Cricetulus griseus: one gene and its partners. The protein of the gene in region 1 interacts with the protein of each later gene in a biochemical or structural test. Links are inferred from orthologs where the notes say so. Each region holds a gene or a part of one and is shown in the gene's direction. Other genes may lie near its edges.

Region 1 (4,008 bases):
ATTATGATTTTTTTTTTAAGAGTGGAATGACATGGTCAGCTTTGCAATTAGATAAAAATCACTCTAATGACGAGGCGGAGAATGAATTAAGTGAGAGCAAAGAGCTGAGGCAAGGCAGTCTTTTGGGAAACTACTGCAGTAATCCAGGCAAGAGGATAGGTGTGGTGCAAGAGGTAGAGAGAAGTCAAAAATGAGACTTAGGAAACAGGAGTGAGACCCAGTGAGGCTTAAGGACCAAGCGTTGGGGACCGGGGAGAAGGCACATAGCTTCTGTAACTGGTCATACATCATTTCCAAAGTAAGAACAGGTATGAGGAGCGAGCTGGTGGCTTTTGTTTTGAATATAATGGGCTTATAGAGTCAGAAGTGTCCAAGGACAGGGAACTGTGAGCGTGGAGGAAATCCAAGGAAGGGTTGGTATACATCTAGGAGTGATCCAGGACATGGAAGCTACAGAGGAGGCCATCAAAGGTACAATGGGAGAAGGGCAGGTAAGGTCCTGACTTTCGCACTTAGTGGTTTGGTAAAGGAGATGGGGGCCATAGAGAAGTCCAGAGAGGCAGGAAAGGGCAAGAGGTTCTGAGTCATGACGACTAAGGGGGAAAATCTTCAACAACAGAGGTGTCAGCTGGGTTAAAGCTTTGGTTTTTGTTTGTCTGTTTGTTTTACTTCTTAATTAGATTTATTCATTTTATTTCATGTGTTTTACTTGCATGTTATGTACGTGCACCGTCTGCATGCTTGGTGTCTGTAGATATCAGGGGCACCAGATCTGGCACCTCCATGTGGACACTGGGGATCCAATCTCCCTCCCCTGCAAGAACAAGTTCTCTTAACTGCTGAGTTAAAGTTAAGTCCTTGTGTTGAAGATTTTTAAACAGCAAGTTAAGCGGACGTCTTCTGGCTTTAGTAACACAAAGGTTAATCCTAGTCCCCAACTTTGCGTTCTCGGCGATGCGGCTAGTTAATGCAGGGTCTCGAGACTGAGCCTCTGTAAGCACACAGCTTCCCTCTCGTTGTTCTCCAAACTTGTAAACAGAACCTCCAGACTGCGGTTTGCACGGCTCAGAGGAGTCCCAGGTTCTCAGCCGGGGTGGGGAGCTGGGACAGGAAGGGCGAGCAACAACCACGCAGCGCGGGGGGAGGCGGCGCGCCCGCGGAACAGCCGGCTAAATCTCGCCTCTGATTGGCTGGTGCGGAAAGAGGCGGGACGCCCTCCGGCCTTTTCTCCCGCCCGGTGCTTTCGTTTTTCTGCTCTCAGTCTGTTGAGGCGCCTGGGCTACCACGGCGACCGCGCCCCTCAGACCCTCTTGGGACACAGCTGAGAGGCACAGGAACATCTGCCCAGACTCGGGCACCCGCGTGCAGTAAGTGAGCGCCGGGTGCGGGAGCGGGCGGGAGTGGGGTGCCCCTCCCTAGGCCTGGAGTCCACTGCCTTCAGATGACCTGTCACCCCGCGGAGAGAACGTGAACAGGACCACCGCCTAGCCCTTACCCCGTCCATTCGCACTGCTGGGGTAACTGTGCAATAGAAATCTCTCCCCAGAAGACTCTGCAACTTCCCCCTTAACCCTTGTTCGCCTTACCTCATAGCCACTTTCCACCAATGTAACGATTTCTTCTTTCCACAGTTGCATCCGTACTGTCCCAACCCCAGAGCCGCTGCCACCCTGTGTGTGCAACAGGCACCAAACTTGCTGTGTGTGGTGGTTGCTTGTGTTGAATCCCCAGCCTACACTCGCAGTCCAGTAAGTGTTCTTGGAAACCAATGCATTTGGAACCTCAGTATGCAGCAGCCGCCCTTAGCCAGTTATTTAATTACTGCAGACCCATTAATGGCATACTTATTTAAAAATAATTCCTGGGCACCACCAAAGAGCCCTGGGGTAGGTGTACAGGTGGGCGAAAGTTGTTTTTATCTGGCAGAAGTGACTTGAGCCCTAGCTGCTCAGTGAGGATGCTGGCCTCAAACTTGTAGGATCATCATAGGGTTTGCCTTTTGTTTTCCATTGCCTACTGAAACATACAAAGTTCAGTTGAACATACTGTTCCGTACACAGTAACACTTATGATTTAGGCCACATACCAGTCGCTGTTCGGGGACCAGAGGATGAAAATAGCAAAACTATCCCCTCTGAGGCTCTATGCTTACAATGCTGTGGGAGACAGCCGTATGTTTCACAGGGAAGACTGGAGCTGATGCTGTAATAGCCGAGCAGAATGCAGCAAGGCTGGCGCCAAAAGAAGCTAGATGTAAGCGTGACAGCCAGCTTTAGAAAGAAGGGCCACTTACTTAGAACTTTGATTGTTGGCAGCAGGGTACTCCAGTCAGCAAGGCACAGGCTAGATTGGGAGGGTAGCATGTTTGTAGGAGGCATGGAGACAATTGGTCCTAAGACTTCAGTGGAAGGAGTCACCCCCAAACTCAGTTTGAGCTAGTTGATTTAGGGTATTGCCAGTCCCAGCTGGATTTGTTAAGGTAAATCTGTTGATGCACGGGTTTGTATTTGGTGCTATGTATGCTTAGCACACACAGTCCCTGCAAGCACCTGTGCAGAGTAGTAAGTTGTCTGAGCACTTGGCTAATAAGAGGTTACACAGGCCCCGGGGCCTGAAAGTCCATCACATCTGCTTCAGGCATGCCTCTACTGGGGGAGAGGGCACTGATTTGAATGTCAACACAAGTAAATAAACCAGATGTAAAAAATCAAATTGCTACACAGACATGCCTCAATGATGGCCTGGGGTCCTTTTTAATGGTATTTGAAATGGTAGCTGACTTCATAGTCCAGACATTTCCTTGCTGTCCTTTGGAGGGACATTTGTTTAACAGACATGACTATTCCTGCGCATGAGTGTTTGAAAACAGGTATCTATCCTGCACCTCCATACCCCACCTGACAACACAGACCTTTCTCCAGAGGTCTGACAGAACTAGATTCGCTTCACCACTCTGAATGTGGCAATGCTGGTGGGCACTGGTGTATGTCCTGTTACATGATGGTCATGCAAAATTTGTTCTTAAGACTTTCCTCAATTAGGGATTGCCGTAATTTTTAACCTCTAGGGTTGCAATGTAAAAAATGACTTCTTAATTATCTTCTTTATTCTTTCAAATGGCATTTAGCAATGCTGTTTGAATATTTCTCTTTTTCTGATACAGTGTTTCACTGTGTAACCTTGTAGGCTAGGCTTGCACTCATTGTGCTGCTCAGACTGACCTTGCACTCATGGCCTTCTTGGCTCAGCTTTCCCAAGTGCTGTGATTTCAGGTCACCCAGGTCTGGCTGTTGTTTCCATCTGTGGAGATGGTTCCACTGCTCATAGCTCCTGCTGTGCATACAGATCACCAATACCCACATTAAAACAAACAAAGAAAAAAAGAAACCAGGTGTAATGACATGTGACTGTGACTTCAGTACTAGAGAGCACATGGCTTGCTGGTGAGAATGTCTAACCAAAATGGGTAGAGTTCCTATCTCAAAAAAGTAGAGAAAGGATGGAGGCTGATATCCTGATGTTATCTACATGTGCCTGCCATATTCAAAAGAAAGTTTATTTCTTTTAAAATTTGTTTAACAAAAATACTTTACCATATGAATCATAAATACGAAATATCAACTTAAGTCAGAGAGATGGTTCGGTGGGTAAAGCTCTTGCTGCCAAGCCAGAGGACTTGAGCCGTGTTCCCAGGACCTGCGTGGTGGAAGGAGAACCAACTCCTGCAGGCTGACCTCTGACCTCCACCCACATGATGTGGCACAAAACAGGCAATAAACAAAGTGTAATAATCCTAAAATACTGGCTTTAAAATGTACTGTAGTTTGTAGAAGAAGTTTTAGAAAGTGCTTTTGTGATATCTTAATTCTATTAATGTTTTCTACTTGATTGGCAAAAAGTAGAAATTCATTTTTAAATATTTATTGGCTACCCAGTTTGTACCAGACATTGTTCCCTCTCCTTTTCTTCAGATGAAAAAAAAAAAAAGAATGAAGTAAAAAGAAAAAA
Region 2 (3,518 bases), on another chromosome or scaffold:
TGACCGTTATGAGACCACAAGTCTCCATGCCTCCGAGCTGTATCCTCAAGTGTGCTGCTGGGGACTACTGTGGAGCATGTGACTGGAAGTGCTTAGCCAAGGCTTGCCACACACTAGTAGGCCCTGCTCCAGGCTTCCCTGTCCCAGGCTTCCCTTCAGGACCGTCTCAAGGCCTCGAGGAAAGCTGCCCATGTCACTTGGCCCAGATGTTGAAGGGGTTATAACTAGCTACCATTCTCTCTCCCTCTCCCTCCTTGTCCCCCTTCCTTTCCCTCTCTGTCTCCTTTCCCCCTTCCTCCCTGCCCTTCCCCCTCCCTTTCTTCTCTCTCTTTCTCTTCCTCCCACCCTTCCTCTTTTTTCCCTCTTTCTCCTTTTTCCCTCCTTGCCTCCCTCTTCCTCTTTCCCTGGTCTCTCCTCTCTTTCTATCTTTGACCTCAGACTCACACTGTAGCCCAGGCTGACCTGGATCAGTGTAGCTGAGGCTGGCCTCAAATGCAGAGCAGTCCTGTTGCCTCAGCTTCCCAGTTGCTGGTATTATGGGTATCCGTTACTGCATCCAGATGTTTTCTTCTTTATTTAAACCATGAAGTATACAAAATGCTTATGATTGCTTCAGATGCCCTCACCCCTGAAAGGTCTGAAAGGTCTGAAAGGTCCTCCTATCTCCCCGCCTCCCTCTCCTTCCCTGTCCCCCTCCCTTCCTGCTCGTTTATGAGACCTAACAGTGGTGGCCCTGCTTCTGCCTCTTGCAGACTGTGGCATGAATGTGCACCACAAGTGCCGAGAGAAGGTGGCCAACCTATGTGGCATCAACCAGAAGCTCTTGGCTGAGGCCTTGAACCAAGTGAGCCAGGTAGGCAGGGGCAGTGGGATCTGGACATAGGGCAGTGCAAGCAGAGGGTTTCGGGGCTCACAGAATGCCTGGGGGGCCCTAAGGTGGGTAAGGCCTTAATTCATTGATGAATTAAGGTGGCAGAGAGGTGGCCTTGTTATCTTGGGAAGTTCATCATCCAGCCAGTTCTTTACCTGAGGTGAGATGGCAACTGCAGAGTTGAGTGTTGGGACATTTTGAACAAGGACGAGGTCTATGTTATACGCGTAATGTATGGTGTATTGTGTGGTATGTGTGGTGTATCTGATATGTGTAGTGTGGGTGTTGCGTATGTGGTATTTATTTGGTATGTAGTGTGTGTGTCCAGAATGTGTTATCTGTGGTTGGGTGGTATATATAGAATATGTGGTATGTGCATAGTATATATGGTTTGTTTACATGGTGTGCATTGTGTATTTGGTATGTTATATGTAGGAGTGGGTGGCATGTGGAGTGTGTGTTGTGTATACATGTCCTCTGTGCTGTACATGCATAATATATATGATATGTGTACGTGTATACAGTGTGTGAATGCAATGTGTGGTGGGTGGATAAGAATGGGGTTCTTATGGTGTGTGTGTATTTAGATGTGACTGGAACTTAAGGGATAATACAAAACTTTAGAGTAAAACTCTAGGGCCAGAAATGAAGTTAGTGGCTGGCAAGATGTTTCAGTGGGTAATGGTGCTTTCCACACAGCCTGATAGCCTGAGTTCCTTCCGTAAAACATGCAGAATCATTGAGAAACATCCCATAGGTTGTCCTGTGACATCTGCATGTGTGCACATGCATATGCATGTCTACATACACATATACACAAGGAAATGTAAACAATTTTTGACAAAATTAAACATTTATTAAATGCTTAGGAAGGTCGGGCGTTGGTGGTGCACACCTTTAATCCTAGCACTCGGGAGGCAGAGGTAGGCGGATCTCTGTGAATTAGAGGCCAGCCTGGTCTCCGGAGTGAGTGCCAGGACAGGCTCCAAAGCTACACAGAGAAACCCTGTCTCGAAAAACCAAAAAAAAAAAAAAAAAATGCTTAGGAAGTTATGATTCAGTTCACTAAATTTCTGTGCCTTTCAGATCACAAGACCAGAAGAAGGGAGGAATATGGCCTGGGAGTCCTGGGCTCCACCCTTCTGACACCAGTGGAATTGAGGGGGATATTGTGGCCTAGGAGTTCTGAAAGTGGTCTTACCATTTGGCTTCCTTCTTATGCCCTTTCCCTAGAGATCTTCACGGAAGCTGGACTCGGGATTGCCAGAGAGTTTTGGAATATACCAGGGATTCGAGAAGAAGATGACAATTTCTGGGGATGACGCCCCAGGTGAAGCTGGGTCACATATCCCCTTTAAAGCTCCCATTCCCCAAAAGGGCAAACAAAGGGGCCGGTCTTCCTTGCTGCGTGAGTCCTGGGATGAGGTACTGAGCCCCTTTCTCTCCGACCCCTTCCCCAGCCCACCCTTGGGACTCCAGTAAGTCTTTCTGTCTAGTAAGTTCTGGGAAGAGGTCCTACCCATGGGAAGTGAGCCCCTTCTCTCTACTCTTGAGACCCTTGCCTAGCCCACTCCTGCCCCCTGGGAAGGGAGTCATGTAGCCCCGAGACCTTAGTCTCTTTATCTCTCTAACAGACAACAACGGGACCTATGGCAAGATCTGGGAGGGTAGCACCCGGTGCAGCATTGATCGCTTCGTCTTCCACAAAGTGCTAGGCAAGGGCAGCTTTGGCAAGGTGAGAGCAGCCTGAGGGCCAGTGTTCAGGTGTTTCCTGTTACACACCAGAAGCTGGGTGCTGGTAACCTCCAGGGCCTTTGCTCAGCATCCTGCCCATCGCTAGGTACTGCTTGCGGAGCTAAAGGGCAAAGACCAGTTCTTTGCGGTCAAGTGCCTGAAGAAGGACGTGGTGTTGATCGACGATGATGTGGAGTGCACCATGGTGGAGAAGCGGGTGCTGGCACTCGCCTGGGAGAATCCCTTTCTCACCCACCTCTTCTGTACCTTCCAGACCAAGGTTTTTGGCCTTTCCCTGCCATTGCCTGTGCCCCGACCCCATCATTCCCCCACAGTGGAGCTGTGTCTGTTACAGTCATACCTCCTAAGCTGTCAACCTCAGCCCAGATTCTATGCTCTCTACATCCTGTTGGGGCTCTGTGATCTTTTGCAAGGGTACCTCCTTCTTGTCACTTTTATCTCTGCTTATCCCTTCTCTCCTACCCCCAGGACCACCTGTTCTTTGTGATGGAGTTCCTCAATGGAGGTGACCTGATGTACCACATTCAGGACAAAGGCCGCTTCGAACTCTACCGGGCTACGTATGTGAGGGCCCTGTGTGAGGAGAGGGACTTTGGCTTGAGTGTACTGCCAGTCTGCCCTATATCCTTCTTCCCCCACCCCCCGCTGGAAAAGCTTGAGTCAGGACAGAGCTGGCACTGGGGAGACTTGGGACACTGGGAAGCAAGCTCTGGCTATGGGGCCAGCACAGGTACCCTAGGTCCTGTCTTCTCTTTGGGCCTAGCCAGAACAGCAGAATAGACAGTGCTCTGTACTCCATGGACCCTGGTGGGTGGCCCCGGGACTACAGCACTGATACCTTCAAGTGTTTGTATACCCCTCAACAAGTGGCATGTATTTGTACATGTGTGTC
Region 3 (3,210 bases), on another chromosome or scaffold:
GGTGAGTAGGTACTAGGCTGTAGTCTTGACCCTAGGTAGAGATTTAGTTAGCTGGTGGCCTGCAGGGTGCTGCCTAGATATGCTTTTGATAATAGTCTGTCCCCACTTCTCCTTTGGCTATTTTCACTATTATAGGAGCTTCTCCCTAGACTTCTTGAGGCTGTTCATTAAAAGTACTTGTAGGCCTGTCACCGGTGAAGAATGACTGTCTTTCCCTTCTGTGTTGAGCTCAGAATTGTAGTTTCCCAGCCCATGGTCTCATTTTTCTTCACAGCCACATCTGGGATACCAGGTTGTCCATCCTTCCCATTGTGGAGATGAGACTGACATAGAGTTTCTGTGGTGCCTTGGTCACCACTCTTAGTGGAACATAGGCCTGTTGGTCCCTGAGCCCTAATGTCTGCTGCCTGCTTTCAGCCAGTCTTCTGCCAGCCTCTTCCAAGTTAGTTCCACCCTAGTCTGGCAGGGATTCTCGCTTAGTATTGCCAGTCACTATCTAGGTGCTAGAGCTGTAAGCAAGCAGTTCTCAACATCCCTGTCCTATCCATTTCATAGGTTTTCTTCCCTTTCTTGGTGGGACACGGTGAGGAGGTAGGTATAGGTAGTGAAAGGGGTGGTGGTGGCGATTGGTGCCAGCTGGGCCAGGTATGTTGGAAAAGAAATGATGCTCTCCCATCTGGTGAAGATTGTAAGCTTCTCTCTTACCCAAGACTTCTCATGAATGGTGCCTCCTCCCAGATTTGGATCCTAGCAGGCTCTGCCTTCCCTCCCTTCTTGCTCTGTACCTCATAACTTGTACTTCCACTGGGCATGGTGCTACAGAGGCAGGAAGGTGTCTTTTGAGGTTTGAGACCTTCCCTCAAAAATAAATAAACCCAACTAAATAAAACTCTTCTTCCATCAGAGCCTTTCTGTGGCTATTCCTGTTGCCTCCGTGTGTGTGGCCCACAGGGCCTCATGGTACCTGGATCTCAGTTATGGTGGCTTTGTCTCTGCCACCTGGCCTGTTGGATGTCCTATGTTGCAATTCCCCTCTGCCTAGAACACCCTTCCCCATATTTCTTGGTTCTCACTTCCCTGTTGAGGCCCCATTATCACCTGATGCAGTTTTCTGTCTTTAATTTCCTTTCTGGGGCCTGGTTTAGGCCATTCTACTTAGAGGCTGCCGTTTCTCTGGCCCTCCCAGTATGGATAAATTGGGGTTTCTAGCACTCAGTTCCCTGTTGCACTCACAGGGGCGGAGGGCTTCACTACCCAGGAGGACCAAGAGATGCTGAGCCGTATCGAGAAGCAACTCAAGCGCCGCTTTGCCATTGGCTCCCAGGTGTCTGAACACAGCATTGTTCAGGACTTCACCAAGCAGGTGAGCTTTCCTAAACATTGGGAACCTGTAAACCACACCCAGGATACACAGAAGGTATCCTGGTTCCCTTGATCTGTGTTCTATGTTCAATAGTGGAGTACTGGGGAGGGGGGATGTTTGAGCCACTATTCTTTCCCTAGGAAATGCTACAGTTGGGGTTGGCTGTTTATATATACCGTGAAGTGGGAAAATTTTAGAAGCCAGGTTTGGAGAAACTACCACCTAATTTCCCCATTTCTTAGTCTTTCCCTTATTGCTTGGCTCATTACAGGGTAGGGAGCCAAGAACCAGATGAATGAGCCCTGTAACCCATTGGGCAGAGGGCTATTGATCCCATGCAGAGGAGATGCTGCTATTGGATGCCAGGAGGAACCTGTGCCCTTTAAAATCAGGAAGATAGGCCTGGTTTCTGTTCTTGGCTTCCTTTCCCGTGTATCCTCTCAGTTTGCTTCTGGAATAGTTTACACATTAGCTGGTACTTGCCCTGCTCTATAGGTGAGAAAGAAGATTAGCATTTACTGAGGCTGGGGCTGGAGAAAGTTAGGTTTTTAGGGTCACAGGGACTTCGGTGTTAGCTCACTTAATTGCTATATGACCTCAAACAAGTGACACCCTCTGCCTGTTTCTTTGTGAAATAATTCCTAATACTGGTTGCAAAAAAGTTGACATAAGACTATACTTTCCTGGTACACAGGCATTACAAAGTATAAGCCCTAATGATATGAAGTCAAGGGAGAATGAAGGTGGAAGCTTTTTGTCTGATGTAAAGTTGTCTATGAGCAAGGGGGTTCATGGGCTCCCTTGGGTCTTGATAATCTCTGTATGTGTCTTCTGCTCCCTCCTACAGAAGTATCCAGAGCATGCCATCCGAAAGGTGCTGCAGCTCATGCTGCGCAGGGGAGAGGTCCAACACCGCATGCAGCGCAAGGTGCTCTACCGCCTCAAGTGAGCCCACTGCCTGTCAACCCTCAAACCTGAATGCGGCCACTGCTCCACCTCCATGTTCTTGCACTTGTGCATACCTCCATCAGAAGGAGGATGTATTGCCTTACTCTCCCCTCTGACTGCTGCCTGCTGTGCATCTGTAGCCCCTGGAAATGTGCTTTGGTCTCTTGGCCTCATATACTGTGTTTGGATGCCTGAGAGTTTTGGTGTAGGTGCCTAGTCTCTGTCCTGCCTCCTTTGCAAGCAGGAACAGGCTCTGTAGGTAGACAGGTCTGTATACTGGCTCCTGGGCTGCCAGGCTGCCGAGCTTCTTCATGTGACGAGAGGAAATAAAGTAAGTCCCTGGCTGCTAAGAGCAGTGGAGCCAGTGTGACAGTGGTTCTGTGTAAAGTGTGGGGTTGACTCACTCAGCTTTCTACAGCAGCACCTGATGGGAGAACTGGATTATTCACTAAGTTTGTCTATCTGTGCCTCAGTTTCCTAATGTGCAAACAAGTTTGACATTGCCTCATAGGGTTGTACTTGAGCTCAGTGAGTTCAGTGGTTGTCAGTGAAAATCCAAGTAGGCTGCAGTGTAGAAAGCCTCCAGTGACATTTGAGGTTTTATTTACATCAAAGTGGGCTAGGTGAGTTTCTGGGACCTCCATACTGTGTATCTATTCCTGGGAAAGGAACCAGACTTCAGGCCTTATCAGTAATAGAGCTGAGAGGACCTAACCTAAGTCCAGCATGGTAGAAAGTACTAGGAAAGAATTGTTAAAGGAAGATGCTCTCCAGCACTTTTATTATCAAAATACCACAAAGAGTTTTGTTATGCTTTTAGAAATCTAGAATTCATGAAATTAAGGAAAAGTGAATAAAATAAAGTATCTGTTTTTTGTTTTTCGAGACAGGGTTTCTTT

Evidence for each region. The genes of interacting proteins can lie anywhere in the genome.
Region 2: of the proteins of Stat1 (region 1) and Prkcd, one has a biochemical effect on the other in vitro, tested with the Homo sapiens proteins (2 studies listed by BioGRID). The link is inferred for Cricetulus griseus from reciprocal best matches to the Homo sapiens genes STAT1 and PRKCD.
Region 3: the proteins of Stat1 (region 1) and Mcm5 form a complex in vitro, tested with the Homo sapiens proteins (2 studies listed by BioGRID). The link is inferred for Cricetulus griseus from reciprocal best matches to the Homo sapiens genes STAT1 and MCM5.

What each region holds. Positions count from the first base shown.
Region 1 is NC_048595.1:403,728,027-403,732,034, reverse strand, and holds the start of Stat1 (signal transducer and activator of transcription 1-alpha/beta), read left to right. Parts: upstream 1-1,206; 5' UTR 1,207-1,367; intron 1,368-1,631; 5' UTR 1,632-1,748; intron 1,749-4,008. UniProt on the Homo sapiens protein: Signal transducer and transcription activator that mediates cellular responses to interferons (IFNs), cytokine KITLG/SCF and other cytokines and other growth factors.
Region 2 is NW_023276807.1:189,126,268-189,129,785, forward strand, and holds part of Prkcd (protein kinase C delta type), read left to right. Parts: intron 1-752; coding exon 753-853; intron 854-2,104; coding exon 2,105-2,279; intron 2,280-2,505; coding exon 2,506-2,606; intron 2,607-2,711; coding exon 2,712-2,885; intron 2,886-3,094; coding exon 3,095-3,186; intron 3,187-3,518.
Region 3 is NC_048596.1:150,892,376-150,895,585, forward strand, and holds the end of Mcm5 (DNA replication licensing factor MCM5), read left to right. Parts: coding exon 1-1; intron 2-555; coding exon of another isoform or gene 556-587; exon of another isoform or gene 588-905; intron 906-1,235; coding exon 1,236-1,363; intron 1,364-2,210; coding exon 2,211-2,312; 3' UTR 2,313-2,698; downstream 2,699-3,210. UniProt on the Homo sapiens protein: Acts as a component of the MCM2-7 complex (MCM complex) which is the replicative helicase essential for 'once per cell cycle' DNA replication initiation and elongation in eukaryotic cells.